Arabidopsis thaliana: one gene and its partner. The protein of the gene in region 1 purifies or fractionates together with the protein of each later gene. This does not show direct contact. Each region holds a gene or a part of one and is shown in the gene's direction. Other genes may lie near its edges.

The links.
Region 2: the proteins of ALP (region 1) and VSR3 purify together in Arabidopsis thaliana (affinity purification with western blotting, with the first as the bait; one study listed by BioGRID). This does not show direct contact.

Annotation. Positions count from the first base shown.
Region 1 is NC_003076.8:24,276,444-24,284,299, forward strand, and holds ALP (aleurain-like protease), read left to right. Parts: upstream 1-3,453; 5' UTR 3,454-3,600; coding exon 3,601-3,794; intron 3,795-3,876; coding exon 3,877-3,998; intron 3,999-4,418; coding exon 4,419-4,534; intron 4,535-4,672; coding exon 4,673-4,746; intron 4,747-4,856; coding exon 4,857-5,121; intron 5,122-5,204; coding exon 5,205-5,336; intron 5,337-5,440; coding exon 5,441-5,580; intron 5,581-5,671; coding exon 5,672-5,714; 3' UTR 5,715-5,925; downstream 5,926-7,856. Other genes in the region: AT5G60350 (uncharacterized protein), read left to right, coding at 1,429-2,080, 2,192-2,418; AT5G60370 (exonuclease V-like protein), read left to right, coding at 6,415-6,792, 6,882-6,986, 7,101-7,222, 7,358-7,513, 7,616-7,769. UniProt on the Arabidopsis thaliana protein: May play a role in proteolysis leading to mobilization of nitrogen during senescence and starvation.
Region 2 is NC_003071.7:6,305,288-6,314,019, forward strand, and holds VSR3 (vacuolar sorting receptor 3), read left to right. Parts: upstream 1-3,395; 5' UTR 3,396-3,607; coding exon 3,608-3,911; intron 3,912-4,005; coding exon 4,006-4,698; intron 4,699-4,775; coding exon 4,776-4,864; intron 4,865-4,964; coding exon 4,965-5,034; intron 5,035-5,107; coding exon 5,108-5,191; intron 5,192-5,535; coding exon 5,536-5,612; intron 5,613-5,676; coding exon 5,677-5,758; intron 5,759-6,128; coding exon 6,129-6,211; intron 6,212-6,291; coding exon 6,292-6,358; intron 6,359-6,446; coding exon 6,447-6,575; intron 6,576-6,679; coding exon 6,680-6,789; intron 6,790-6,917; coding exon 6,918-7,016; 3' UTR 7,017-7,061; exon of another isoform or gene 7,062-7,154; 3' UTR 7,155-7,439; downstream 7,440-8,732. UniProt on the Arabidopsis thaliana protein: Vacuolar-sorting receptor (VSR) involved in clathrin-coated vesicles sorting from Golgi apparatus to vacuoles.

The DNA of each region.
Region 1 (7,856 bases):
ATTCAATTAAAAATTTCCACAATTCTACTAAATTTGGTACTATATATTTGTAACAAATTATCTAAAGATCTTTATAGTTATTGGATCCATCATCATTTTGTTAAGTCCATAATTGTTCGTGTTATGATTTCAAATGAGATTAAAATAACTCTTTTTGTACTTGTATCAAAATCTTGAGTAAAACAGCAATAGTTTCTCATATGCTGATGATATGCGACCACAATGGGGGACATCACATACTGTAATAGAAAAATATTACATCAATTACTCATTTTATTTATACCAGTATCTGGAATCTATAGACTATAGCCGTTATATATGCAACTGACAAAACAAAATATATGTCGAATCATTCGAATAGAAACTGATCCCTAACTTTTATTACATATCCACGTAACAAAAACGCTTAGACTACATCATTAATTTTTGAATATCATTTGTGATTTGCCATAGGGAGTATATAACTAGGTTTGGCTTTTTGGTGTTGTTGTCGCAGCTAAATTAAAAGGCTCATTATGTATGTATGTACAACATCTTAGTCATCTTGGAACAACAATTAAAAAGGCATTTCATCAAAAAAATTCTACAAACGTTACAACACTAGGAATGATGACGCGTACTCGCAACTCTGTCTTCTATCTAAAAGTCCACACGTACACAAGTATGAGTTTAAAGGCGTTGGGGAAAATATTTTTTTGAAAGGGGTTAAAGTTATCAACGTAGACGAGTCTTCGAACAAATTAATGAATATTTATTAGTTTTTAGTTTTGGATTTCATGATTTCATTCAGAACATGTACATAAGTACATTCTCTGTCTATGTCAATCTTCTTTATCAAATAAATAAATAAATAAAAAACTCCCTGTCAATCTTCATAATTGATAAATATTACATAGTTCACGAAAAATATATAGTTCAACATTACTTAGAAGTTAGAAGATTAAATTTTCTTCATATAATAATGATCGGAAAGTTGTTCCAATATTAATAGAATATAATATCGTTTCCAGAACACATATTTTTGTTCTGATAATAAGTAATAAAGTTGATGTTTCCTGGAAATCAGAAGGAAGGAAGGTATATTACGAAAGAGATTCCGAGATCTATACAGAACTGTTTTTTAAACAAACTGCCATAGTTAATCACATGGTGGCCACATAAAGAAGACCATAGAAATGATACAAAGCAGTGCTGAAGTCGTTGCCGTTTACGCGGTTTTATGGCATATGTCATTATGATCTCCCTCTCCCTCTATATCAACTGGATACATAAACACACATACTAATGAACTTCTATAAATATAACATACATAGAATGAAGCTGAAGCATAAACAGCCCAACCAAGTCATATCTTATCTCTGTTCTTTGACTTTCCCTTTTTACAGATTCTTTGCCAATAGAACCTAAGAAAAAGACATAATATCGTTGATGGAGAAAATTACAAAGGAAGAAAGGAGAAACAGATGCCTTCCAAGTTTTGGAAGCATATATCGAAGTAAGAGGACGGGTAAGAAAGAGGCAGCAGCAGCAAAAACCAAGGTAGAGGCGGATCTGATTATTGTAAAAAATGAAGATAAATCTAACGAGGAACAGAAGAAGATTGAAAAATGTTGGATGATGAGTGAGGATGGGGAAGGCGGCAAGTCAACTGTAGAGTATGATGGTTCAAGCATTTTAAACACAAGTGGGGTCTTGCGTGGGGATGAAGACATCAGTGAGGAGGAACCTGAGGAAGTAGCAGAGATATTGATAGATAAAGAGGAAGATAGTGAATTTCTAATAACGATGGTTTTGGACCTTTTGGTGGAAGACAACAAGTCGCTTCAACACAAGTCAAACGCTGCGAACAAAAACAGTAGCTTGCTTGATGAAGAGGTAATCACGGGGGAAGGCAGCAAGGAATGTGATGGAGTTCTGTCCATTGATGAAAGCTTAAAGGTGGTGGAAACCGAGAAGGTTGATAAAGCAGACGAGAAATCAACGGTTGAACAACGCTTAGAGAACGTGGATGCCAATCGTACACAGGCCGAGCAACCTACAACCCAAGAGCAGGCTATAACAATTCAAAAACAAAATCGAGGTACACATATTCTCAAGTGCTAATTCTGCACTTGGAAGTATCTCATGCACTAGTTTGTTTGTACTTTGTAGCAAATAGATTGATTCTTATATGTTCCATTTTGTGTTGTAGCAGTTACTCGGCCAAGGCAGCCAACTTATGTACCCTCCCCATCAGCTCGGGGTCAGGGATATCACGTGTCCGCAGCACCAATTAATATGGGAATCTGTGCTCCACCGAGTCATCCTATGAGGAATGACTTTAACAAGGTGAAGACGTTTGATCTGAAAGGAGTAATAAAGAGTAGCGGTAAGGGATTGAAATCAATTGCTTGGCCCCGACGTTTTTCAGTCAAATGAACAAACTCCTAATTTAACTCAAATTACTATCCTCTTAACTATCTGTATAATTTTATCTCTTCAAAATCACTCAAACAACTTCCTACCATTCTCCCATCTTTTTAATTTGTATGCCTTATACTTAATTTTAATTGGTTCAATCGTCATACTTCATGAATAAGATGTTTCCTTCAAATATATAAACGATGCAGTGTGTAATTTGCAGTCGGTGTCGGATTTCGCACACATTCGACTCAACGAAATTAATGTTTTGAAAATTTAAATTGGACATCGAAAATTTATATTCATTGGATATATGTGTGTCCCAAATAAAAGTAAACAAGAATGTAGAACACATCAAAATAATTAATATCACTTATCCTGCAACAAAATGAGAAAACAACAAAATTAGATCATAAAATATATTATTCAAAATTATACTTAGTAAATTTAATGGTAAAAGATCAAATATGACTTGCTTTTCAAAATGTTAAAACAGTCTCGAATACGTAAAATAATTTGATCACAAAATAAAGTATATAGATAACAAGATTTTCTAATCTATATCAAATTGGAAAATATTTTTTCATAACAGTGAAAAGATTTTTTTTTAAAAGTTTGTACATTGATTTTTGATTCAAAAACCTTAGTTAATTAAAAGATCTCTTACCAATAAAAGTTTCTGAATGGGATTTGGTATTGAACTGTGTCCTTAAATCCGGGTTTTAGTTCAACCACGAGTTTAACTACATAAACGATTTCCGGTCAGCCTGGTCCTGACGGGCCACCAATTTTCAAAACATTGACGAAAGCAAGCCCAATAACATCAAATATAATTAACAAATTTTAGTTTGAATACGGTTACTGTTTTGGAAATTGATACATTCCGATCTTGGACTAATCTATAATCCATGGGCTGGCTATTTTGCAGTTTCCCGTAAATAAAATTATGAAAACATGATTGATTTCTCGTTGGTAGACCATGACATCACAGGACACGTCAACATTCCAAGTATAAAGGACAAAACTGTCCATTTAGATTCCACCACGTGTCCCGATAACGTTTCCGTCTGTATCTCTCTCTTCCGTCTTCTACTCTTCTTCTTCTTCTTCTTCTTCCACTCACAATCTATCGAGCTAAAACACTGAAGCAGACATTAGCGTTGAGAAAAAAAAAAAAGTAAGAACGAGAGAGAGAAAGCCATGTCTGCGAAAACAATCCTATCATCAGTAGTTTTGGTGGTTCTCGTCGCCGCATCAGCAGCGGCTAATATCGGATTCGATGAGTCAAACCCGATCCGAATGGTCTCCGATGGTCTCCGGGAGGTAGAAGAATCTGTTTCCCAGATCTTAGGTCAATCTCGTCACGTTCTCTCTTTCGCTCGCTTCACTCACCGGTAAGTCTCGTCCTTTCACCACCCGTGCTTTCTCCGTTGACTTTTGATCTTAGCTTTTGATCATCGTTTGTTGGTGATGAAGATATGGTAAAAAGTATCAGAACGTGGAGGAGATGAAGCTTCGATTCTCGATTTTCAAGGAGAATCTTGATTTGATCAGATCCACCAACAAGAAAGGCTTATCTTACAAACTCGGTGTTAATCGTAAGTTTTTTTTTTTATCTTTCTTCTCCTGAGTTTGTACTTAAGGAAGTAAACGTATGTATAAAAGACACTGTGGGAAAACGTGGAAACTAACTTTTGTTCTGTCTTGGAATCTTCCAAGTTAATATTTTTAAATTTTGATTTTTTTCTTTCGTTCACGTGATTCAAGATTGTTATTGGGACTCTAGACTTTACAGAGTTTATGAGTCTATGAACTCTGTGTGAGAGACTAGTTTGTGTCAAAAACAGTGTTCTGCTTCTTTAAGATTTAGCTGTCCTGAGTTGAAGATTGGTTCTCGTTCCTACTTCCTTGTAGAGTTGTAGGGATCTAATCTTTATTTGTCCTAGAACTGACACTGCAATGGTTTGATGAATAATGATTTACCTAAATATTGCTAATTGTGTCTTGAATCTATACAGAATTTGCTGATTTGACATGGCAAGAGTTTCAAAGGACCAAGCTTGGTGCTGCTCAGAACTGCTCTGCCACTTTAAAGGGCAGCCACAAGGTCACAGAAGCAGCTCTTCCTGAAACAGTAAGTCCAGGACTCAATCTTGCTGCACTGAACTATGTCAACCACCATCCCGTTCTGTTTTTCAGCTCTAAGAGAACGTGTTTAGCTGCAGACCTTTTTAAAAATTTGGTTCTGAGTTCTCAAATTGTGTAACTGCAGAAAGACTGGAGAGAAGATGGTATCGTTAGTCCGGTCAAAGATCAGGGAGGTTGTGGATCTTGCTGGACATTCAGGTAAAAGTAAAACCAATGATTAAGATACTCTCTTTAATTTTTGGTGGGATCTTTTGATGTCAAATTGAAGGTCGAGATTGTATGTCATATGATTGTTTTTTGTACTGCAGCACAACTGGAGCTCTTGAGGCAGCTTACCATCAGGCATTTGGAAAAGGAATTTCTCTCTCTGAGCAACAGCTTGTGGATTGTGCTGGAGCTTTCAATAACTATGGTTGCAATGGTGGCCTTCCTTCTCAAGCCTTTGAATACATCAAATCCAACGGTGGCCTCGACACAGAGAAAGCTTATCCTTATACCGGTAAAGATGAAACCTGCAAATTTTCAGCTGAAAACGTTGGTGTACAAGTCCTCAACTCAGTCAACATTACTCTGGTAAGCATCTTTTATGGATTTTGAATTTCACTTGCATGAGAATATACATTCTGTAATGATGATTGAAACAACAACAACAACAGGGTGCTGAAGATGAACTGAAGCATGCGGTTGGATTGGTACGGCCAGTAAGCATAGCATTTGAGGTTATACACTCGTTCCGGCTTTACAAGAGTGGAGTTTACACTGATAGTCACTGTGGAAGTACTCCAATGGTGAGACTTTCTTCTTTAAACTGTTAAAAAGACTTTCATTGGTTCACATAAAATCTTCTTAGGAACTTAGCTTAGTGTTCGGTTTCCTTAATGTGGCAATATAGGATGTGAACCACGCGGTTTTGGCCGTTGGTTATGGAGTTGAAGACGGTGTACCATATTGGCTTATTAAGAACTCATGGGGAGCGGATTGGGGCGACAAAGGTTACTTCAAGATGGAGATGGGGAAGAACATGTGTGGTAAGTTCTTTAATAATTATGAAACCATCACACCATTCTCAAATTCTCACAGTTGGTCTTTCTCTATCTATTGTTGATTCGTTCTTGAATTGCAGGTATTGCTACATGTGCATCATACCCCGTTGTGGCTTGAGATGATCAGCGAATGTGGTTGGTCAATTATCAAATTACGAAATGTTCACGTATTTATTGGATTAAGACATTACGTAAAAGTTGGGACTTGGGAATGCATATGGTTTATGCTTGTTGTAACATAAAAAGGTCTGTTAATATGTACAAAATAAAGCCAAAACTATAGACGACAAATTTATAATATTTTCATGTTAAATTTATGAACATAAATTGATTTAGATCAAAGTAGTTTCGTTCTTGATCCTAAGTCAATTTGTCTAACATATAGCTTTTACTTTGAATCTTGATCCTTGAGTCATTTTGTATAACATACAGCTTACAAGTTATGACTTTATTTTGTTTTGGTAATTGGTATTCTAAACGAAAATGAAATCTAATAACGTGATTAATAGTGGTCACATGGATATCTCATAAATCTCTATCCAATTGTGTGATTAAGAACATGCAAAACTGCAAATAAAGTATAAAAAATCATTTACACAAAACTTCATCTAGTTTTTGGACATCAAATTCACAAAAAGCAGCATATAACACTACAATAATTGATTTCACTTTTATTTTATTTGTTTGTTTACCTTTCTAAGTTCAAATATAAATTCTATGATTAGTTTATTATAATTACAATTTTTATTTTTTTTACTCTGATTTGAATTTTTTACATGGACACGAAAGAAGAAGAAGACCACATGTTGGTTCCGAATAAAACATGGCCGAGTCACCCTCCGAGTCAACCTCCGACTCGCTTAGCACCACCACATCCACTAAGCCCGCTCAATCCGGGACTGTTTCTATTTCAAGCCCTCAAAGTCACCATGTCGTCTTCCCCGAGATCCCAATCGAGATCGTCAGTGAAGAAGAAATGGCTATTCTCGATGCAGCTCTTGCAGCCTCCCGCTCCATCCTCCCTTCCGTGATCCGTTCTGTTTCTCCGTCACGGATAACCGCCGGCGGAAGTCCCAAAACAATCCGCTCAATTACTCTCTTCTCCAAGAGGAAATTATCGGCTTGTTCAGATATCGAAGAGTCTTATCTACATCGATTTAGGAGAAATCAAGCTTTAGGTGTCACAGATCTCACCGGAACTGTACGTTTTTTTTATCACAGATTATAGGAAAGAAGAGATCATATAAGCACATTTGACAATGATAGTGATCTCTCTCTATTTGGTTATAGGAATGGTGTGAGAAACAAATGGAGAATGTTCTTTGTTTTGGCAGGAGAAAAGTCAATAAAGCTATGAAAGTTGGTCAGGCTCGTCATTTGCAGCTTGAAGAAGAGGTATTATTCACTATGATGGATCTTAGGGGCTTATTGTTACTATTAAGAGTACTTGATCGTTTTGTGAACAATTTGATGAAATCTACTTGTTGTTGTGTTTATATAATTGGGTAGGTAGTTAAAAAAGTGAGAGTAAAAGTTGAATCAAATGAAGATAAGTGGGCATTGAAGCTGTTGAATTCCATTGCTGGTGTTAATCAGTTCTTGTTTGAAGGACGAACTCGTGAATTGCTACTGTGAGTTCCTTCTACCCCTCTAGTTTCGATCTTCTTTTGTAACATTCTCGTGGCTTTTACCTTTTCCTAGCAAGATAATGTTTTGTAGCATACATCAAATGAGACTTTAAATATGTTGCATTTTACCTTGTAAAGCTTAGGATTTGTTGGAGGTCAATGGATTGTGGGAATTATTGACGAGCTTAGAAAGGCGTATGCAGAAGAGTCTTCTGATAGCGGACCAATATTGATAGATACAAAGACTCGACTCCGTGATACACTTCCAGCTGAGCCACAGAGGAGGAATGGAAGGTAAGTGTTTGATAGAGTTAAGGAAAACGTTGGTCATTTTTGGTTTTGGTTTAATACGTGGGAGTTTTGTGTTAATGTCCTTGAATTAACTATATTTGACAGGCTTCAGCTAATGCTTTACAAGCTTCTATGGGACACTATTGTGAAAGAAGGGTTTCCAACGGGACCTTTTTTCGACTACTTTTCTTTGAATCGCAATTATGTCTTATCCCAAGATGTCAGAGATCACATTGCTAATGCAGGTATCAAAGCTCAGGTATACTTATCTTTGACTCTGTACAATATATCTTTCACTAAACCAAAGTTTATGTGTTTATGAAGAGAGAATTACTCACTTCGAAAT
Region 2 (8,732 bases), on another chromosome or scaffold:
TGAGATGTTCTTATCCTAAGAACTAATCAAAGAGACAACCATAATGATGCTCTTAAACTTTCTTTTATCTTTTAGCTAAGAAACTCTTCTTAACTATTCACATACTCTTTTGATTATATTATGCCTAAGATTTATAGTAAGAGACTTGCAATAAGGATGGTCTTATAGAGTTCTTAATATAGTAGGTTCTTCCAGAAAACCCAAAATTAAATAGAAAATGCAAAAATAGATCTGGGCCGTTCCCTATCGAAGGGATACTTCATGGACCCATACGTGGCTAAATATTATTGGTCCATGAAGTTTTTCGATAAACGTAATCTTTTACAAGTGTTTAGTTTTTTTTGGGCATTCACGTGTTTGGTTTCTCTCTGCAGCGGCGACTTTTTACGGCGATTGTATCTCTCCGATATCGATCTGTCTCGATCATTAGCTCAAAGAGAACAAGACGGCAATTGTGTGGCGATCCGTCTCGATCAACGGCGATAGTGTGTCGATCCGTCTCAATCGACGGCGATAGTGTGTCGATTCGTCATTGATCCAAATCGGAGAGTTTAAGGTTCGAAATCGGAGAATTTATTGATACTCATCTCCAATCTCTTCTGAAGGTATGATTCATTTGATTTGAGTGTTTAGATCTTCATTATTTAGGGTTTAATAGAAATTGTTGAAATTAGGGTTTCGTGAATTGTGGTTTTATGATTGATAATTAGGGCTTTTATATGTAAACGAAATTAGGGTTTTGTGTTCACATAATCAGTCGTTATTACTTTTGATTTTTGCCTTTTAGATTGATATGAATTTGATTTGGTTTGTGTATGAATTGAAACATAAACACTCGTCTATTGCAATACGTGGATTTAATTATTTCAGTTGTGTTCTTGAATGAAATGAGTTTGGTTTTATGAAATGAGTTTGGACTTTAGTTATTACGACTAATGAGTTTGGTCTTTAAGAAATGAGTTTGTACTTTAGTTATTACTTTGTGTTTCTGCTTATGAGTTTGCTCTTTATGAAATCAGTTTGGACTTTAGTTATTACTTTGTGTTTCGGATAATGAGTTTGGACTTTATCAAATGAGTTTGGACTTTAGTTATTACTTTCTTTTCCGGCTAATAGTTTGGACTTTAGTTATTGCTTTGTGTTTCGGCTAATAAGTTTGGTCTTTATGATAGGTTGTATTATATACTTTAAGTGTTTTAGTTTTGATCATGAATGAAATGAGTTTTGAGTTTGTGTGTTATATAATTTAAGTGTTTCAGTTGTGTTCTATGCTTTAAGTTCTCTAACTTGTGGTTGGTCTTATCAAATGAGTTTTGAGTTGCAGGATCCTGAAGATTTGAGTGGTGCCGACATCACTTGTACAAGAAGACACCACAAGCAACAATTTGTATTGTGCGACAGATGCGGTTGACAAATACCTCCGGATTGGTGAAAACACTTTGATGTCTTGTATGATACATTCGGTTGAAGCAATCATATATTTGTTCGGGAAAGAGTATCTAAGAAGACCTACGCGACAAGATCTTAAACGACTACTGCGTATTGGAGAGCTCCGTGGATTTCTCGGGATGACAGGAAGCATCGATTGTATGCATTGGGAGTGAAAGAATTGCCCGACCGCTTGGAAAGAACAATATACACGTGGATCTGGAAAACCAACAATCGAACTACAGGCTGTTGCTTCCCAAAATCTTTGGATATGGCACATATGTTTTGGACCTCTAGGTACCTTAAATGATATCAATATACTTAATCTCTCACTAGTTTTTGATGATATAATATAAGGCCGAGCTCCAAAAGTGAAATACGTCATCAACGGAAACGACTAAATCATTTGGCTTACTAGCTCACATATGGTATTTATCCTAAATGACCTACATTATCCAATCTATTTCACTTCCTCAAGGTGACAAAGATTCTTTATTTGCTACAAATCAAGAAGTTTGTCGTAAAGATGTAGAGCGTGCTTTTGGAGTTTTGCAAGCTCGGTTTGCCATTGTCACAAATCCAACTCTTATTTGAGATAAAGAAAAGGTAGGAATGATCATGCGAGCATGTATAATACTTTACAATATGATAGTTGAGGATGAACGAGATGAGTATACTTATTTTGATGCATCCGAATTCACACAACCGGAATCAACCGCTTCTTCACAAGTGGATTTCAACTATTTTACAGATATGGCTTCAAATCTCGGTAATATTATGGCGTCTGGAGCCTGGTTCGTGCTCGGACTATGCATCAACAATTGAAAAATAATTTAATTGAGCATTTATGGCACAAATTTGGCGGGAATCAAGCTAACCACTAATCGTTATTTTGGTTTTCAATATTTATATCATGTATGTTTAATATTTAAGTATTTACATTAATAATTAAATTTTATGAAATAAAATATTTGTAATTTTTAATTTAATAATAATATTTTATTTTTTAAGAAACCCGCTTAAAGACCTACCATTGGACAAACAAAAAATTAAAGAACCAAAAAAATCTCTTAAACTTTTAAATTTCAAAATTATGATTAAAAAAATATGAAGAGCCCCTAATGGTCTCTTACCATTGGTGTTGCTCTGAGATTGCATGTTTATGTATCTATGTTTAGGATATGCAAAGTTGATTATGAACTTGCTTTTGGGATAATTGTCTTCTTTTTTTATGCATTAACAATTTTAAAATTTTTAGGATAACAACTCTATTCAAAGTCTTTTAACAAAAATACTCCATTCAAGCTCAATTGTTACTAAAATCCAAAACTTTCGCCAAAACTTATTTTCTCAATTGGTTATAATTTTCATTGGGTAGGTTTCAAAACAACATGTTTTGAAACTATATTTTTTTTTACTTTTTTTTAAAATTAGATATCTATATTCTAATCTTTAATCTCCTTTGACAACATTCTAATTATAAATTCACAGAAAAATTAACTAATGCTAAAATTTTCAATAACATATTTTATTATTAATAATTAAATTAATTGTTTTGTCACATGGAAAGAGGCAAAAAGAAAAGTATATATCATCACAATAAGATCTTCATTTCGATCCTCACATGCATTCCATGAATGTGTATTACATCAATTTACACCTTTTTTAAAAAACATTATTTCAGAACAGTATTAAAACAAATTTCGTGGATAATTCTAAAGTATTACATACTCTAGAATTAAATATATTTCCGTATTTAAAAAACTAAGAATATATTTTTAGAACAAAAACTTAAAAATAACAAAGTAAATCGATAGATTGATAAATATATCTTCTCTTTGCTCTTTTTCAATCTGTAACCAAAATATTAAAATTCCTCATGTATTTATTTCTGATATCAACTAATTGTTAAAAAATTTTTTTACTGGTTTTAAATTTAACCCGTGCAACACGTGGCTTGATAGCGTTATATAAAATATTTTGTTTGACTTGAATGGGTCATCTATAGTCTTCCCAGTCACACCCAAACCGCTCAACAAGAAAAACCAGATTTATTTTCTCTGGAAAACACTCTTCAAGTCTTTTACCTTCCGAGAATATATTTCAAATTCTATCATATCATCTTTGATCATTTTCCTTGTCCTTCGAATTTGTTCTTTGTTGTGGCGGAGTCTTGAAGATGAAGCAGCTTCTGTGTTACCTTCCATGGCTGCTTCTCCTCACTCTTCTGGTTTCCCCTTTAAACGACGCTCGATTCGTGGTGGAGAAGAACAGTTTGTCCGTGACGTCGCCGGAGAGTATAAAAGGAACTCATGATAGTGCAATTGGTAACTTCGGGATTCCTCAATACGGTGGAAGTATGGCTGGTACGGTGGTTTATCCGAAAGAGAATCAGAAATCGTGTAAGGAATTTAGCGATTTCTCGATTTCGTTCAAGTCTCAGCCTGGTGCTTTACCTACTTTCCTCTTAGTTGATCGTGGAGGTACTTCAATCTCTTACTCAATCGATTTGATTCGATTCGATTCGATTCCTTAGGGTTTATAAGTGTTGTTGTTGTTGTTGTTGTTGTTGTGTAGATTGTTTCTTCGCTTTGAAGGTATGGAACGCACAGAAAGCAGGTGCTTCTGCTGTTCTTGTAGCTGATAATGTTGATGAACCTTTGATTACAATGGATACACCTGAAGAAGATGTTTCTTCTGCAAAGTATATTGAGAATATTACTATACCTTCTGCTCTTGTTACTAAAGGTTTTGGTGAAAAGCTGAAGAAAGCTATTAGTGGAGGAGATATGGTTAACTTGAATCTTGACTGGAGAGAGGCTGTTCCGCATCCTGATGACCGTGTTGAGTATGAGTTGTGGACTAATAGTAATGATGAATGTGGGGTTAAGTGTGATATGTTGATGGAGTTTGTGAAAGATTTTAAGGGAGCGGCGCAGATTCTTGAGAAAGGCGGGTTTACGCAGTTTAGACCTCATTATATTACTTGGTATTGTCCTCATGCTTTCACGTTGAGTCGACAGTGTAAGTCTCAGTGTATCAATAAAGGAAGGTACTGTGCTCCTGATCCAGAGCAGGACTTTAGCTCGGGATACGATGGAAAAGATGTGGTCGTGGAAAACTTGAGACAGCTTTGTGTTTACAAGGTGGCGAATGAAACCGGCAAACCTTGGGTCTGGTGGGATTATGTTACTGATTTCCAGATCAGATGTCCCATGAAGGAGAAGAAATACAATAAGGAGTGTGCTGATTCCGTTATCAAATCTCTTGGTGAGTGTGTCTGTTATATGCAAATTAAAGAAAGACAATTTTGGGGAGAATGATGCATAGTTACTATGTCTTTACAGGAATTGATAGTAAAAAACTTGACAAGTGTATGGGAGACCCTGATGCTGACTTGGACAATCCAGTTCTTAAGGAAGAACAAGATGCTCAAGTAAATATTAGTCATTTTCATCTGTATTTTCCTCCGGCGTTTCATAGTTATAATCTTTGAATAATCCGTTCGTTTGTGATTGACATATTATATTATGTAGGTTGGCAAGGGTTCAAGGGGTGATGTTACCATATTGCCTACCTTGGTTGTCAACAACAGACAGTACCGAGGTTTGTCTTACATAGTTAACTTAAGACTTCAATACTTGTAGTTTACCTTTGTTAAATAAATGTTTCCTTGCAGGAAAGTTGGAGAAGAGTGCAGTACTCAAGGCTTTATGCTCTGGTTTTGAGGAGACCACTGAACCAGCGATATGCCTCAGCACAGGTATATATTGTTGGTCTTGCCTAATTGTGGGCATTTCGGAATTCACTCAAACTCGTCTGAATAAGCTTTACCTGTATACACATTGGAATACGTTTTGGTGTATCGGGTGAACTTGTGTTGTTAAGTATCCAAAATTTGGGTTTGAGTATCCAAAATTTGGGTCCTCACCAAAACCTGAAATAGCTGACCCATACCCGAGCAAGAATCATAAATCTAAATTTGGATATATTTGGGGTATTAACGATTGATGCCCACAGCTGCCTGTGCTCATACCTGAACCACCTTATCCTAGCTTATCAAATAAATGTTTGGAATGTATTGTAAACTTCTTTTACAATTTACAGATGTGGAGTCAAACGAGTGCTTAGATAACAATGGTGGTTGTTGGCAAGATAAATCAGCCAACATAACTGCTTGCAAGGTATAATGTGAAATTGCTTGGAATAAATTCTGTGCTATCTTTATTAAATCTGCTTAATCCGCAGGATACTTTTCGTGGAAGAGTATGCGAGTGTCCTACAGTTGATGGTGTGCAATTCAAAGGGGATGGTTACAGTCACTGTGAACGTAAGTGTTCATGTCATCTTTGATTAGCTCTTATAAATTTATCAGACTTGTATTATTCAGTAGCAATCTAAGTATGGAAAGATAATAGTTTAGATACTTATAGACCGACATTCTGATCTTCTTCTAGCAGCTCTCATATAACCCATTGTCAGTACATTGTAAAGAAAATTTTCGGTTTACCCTCTTAGATTTTTGAGAGCGCACATCTTCCTGGTGAAATTCAAGATATAATTGTTATTTCATGCTCACTAAAACTTTGAACACTTATATGCCATCATTTCCCATTAGAGATTGATAATTTTATGTTGTCTCTTTGCTGTGCTTTCGTTTGATGTCAAAATTCCATACTGAACTGGTGTTTGCATTGCAGCAAGCGGGCCAGGGAGATGCACAATCAACAATGGAGGTTGTTGGCATGAAGAGCGAGATGGACATGCGTTCTCTGCTTGTGTGGTTAGTGGTGTCTTCTGCGCTTAAGTGTATAATCTCACAGTTTAGTAAGATACTTCTGTCTCAACTTGTAATGCCTTCAGGACAAGGACAGTGTTAAGTGCGAGTGTCCTCCAGGATTTAAAGGAGATGGTACTAAGAAGTGTGAAGGTTAGACCCTCTGAAAAAACTTGAATTACAGTACTACTTTGTTCTAGTTCTAATCATCTTATAAGGATTTTCGTGCTTCCTGCACCAGACATTAATGAGTGCAAAGAGAAGAAAGCATGCCAGTGCCCAGAGTGTAGCTGCAAGAACACATGGGGAAGCTATGAGTGCTCTTGTAGCGGGGACCTTCTCTACATCAGAGATCATGACACTTGCATCAGTGAGTATTTTTTTTTGAATATGGAAGTCTAAAGTTTGATTATTCAAATAGTGTTTCTCCCACCTGTTTTCCAATTGTTATTGGTTCTATTTGTCGAAATCTAGGCAAGACGGGTGCACAAGTGAGATCAGCATGGGCGGCCGTTTGGCTTATAATGTTATCATTGGGACTTGCAGCTGCTGGTGCATACCTCGTTTACAAATATAGGCTAAGGGTAAGCTTTTTTAATCTCTTCTGCTCTTTTGTTTTCTGTTGTGTTAATAGCGAAGATTAATCTTGTATTTGCCATATCCGTTACTTGGGGAAAATTGTTTTAACATTCCTATGCCCCTGGTTTTACAGCAATACATGGACTCAGAGATCAGAGCCATAATGGCACAGTACATGCCATTGGACAGCCAACCCGAGATCCCGAACCACGTGAATGATGAACGCGCCTGAGAAAGCAAAACAGTCCATCTATTTATTCCCCGGGAAGGACCCAAGGTGACACGTTCTTTTAACTGATGTGGCCCTTAACGACGATGTTTTCTCGCCTCTGTATCTTTGTAACTCTTTTTTTTTTTTTTACCATTACAGTGTATTTGCATACAAAAGAGGTTCGAGTGACTTTGTGCTTTTTTTTCTCACTTGTGTCCATGGGACTTCTGTAATAGGAAAACTCTGATGTAAGTAGCTTCGGCTAACAAGACAAGAGAGAGTTACTTGTTTTAGAGTTCATGTTGTTAATTGTTTCCTTTTTTTTTTTTTGTCGACTAATTGTTTCCTTTTATCTTGGAAAAGTGTGATTCTCATTTCATTTATCCCTAAACAAAAGAAGGTCCGATTCTTTGTGTAAGTCATCTTCTTTTTAGTTATTAAAGTAAGAATTATATTTTTGACTTTTGAAAATGTACTTATACGTTTTATATTCCTAACTTTACAAGTTTAAATTAATATAATAAATTATGCAAAAACAAATTTCAAAAAACAATATATTGGATAAATATATTGCATATATATTTAGTTAATATTTATTGAATAATTTGGTATTAATATAATAAATTATGCAATACTATGTAACTAAATATATATTGATTAAATTTTTTACAAAGATTTTTGTTTTAATATTTATAAATTCTAGTTTCATAGATCGCGCATTTCGCTTATATCACAGTTTTTTTATTAATAGGCTATGTTTTTTAAAGTACTTTAATGTTGTAATCTTAGTCACTATTTATTTATAAGCATAAAACTATAATTTCTATGTTTTTGTCGCCTTTAAAAAATCAATATTAATACTAAAATTTAAACTACATTTAAGTTTGAATCTCTAAAGCTTGTGTTAATGGATAGCTTGGAAAGCTTATCTTTCCGGAGAACATTATTATTGTACAATCTATTAGCTCTTGATTCTTGAATTTAGTTAGTGCATCTCCTGATTATGTTCCACTTTCATTTTCTTCTAATTTTAGGAATCTGGATGCAAATCCAGGTTAAGTACATTTAGCTTAATAGAAAGATGATTTGACTCGGACTGATGAAAATGGTGCCAAGACCAAAACTCTACCACTCGGACGAGTCAGGTCAAAAACAACTCAAATTGACTATTGAACCATTTTTCTAATCTAGACCAGACACCAAAACTCTACCACAGCTCTCCGACATTGGTGGGCCTAATAAATTCCCACAAATATTTTTTTCTGTTTTCTTTTTCTATAAACGGTTGGAATTACATCTTTTGAACCCATATTTTTTTTTGTACTAAAATGATTAAACTCGAGCCAAAAAAATATCAATTTATTAGGCAATCACTACTTGTATAATGCAATTTATGGCGTGATTAGTTCCACAACTGCATATAGACTATCGAATACTTACACTTTTATGTTTTTAGGAATGTGAGTTTGGAGTTTGTTACCGAAAAACCAATCAAGTTCAAGCTTAAAGCCTTAAACCAATCAAACCATATCACTTTCTATTTTTAGGAATGTGGATGCAAATCAACATTAAATACATTTAGTTTCTAAAACCAATGTTACCGGTTTTGATAATTCCCACAAATAATAAGATGTTCATAAAAACGTGGCCAACAACCATTTATGTTCACCAACCTAATCGCCCCTCTCTCAAAAAAAAAAAAATCCAATTTTCCAATTTTATTTAACGGTCACATTT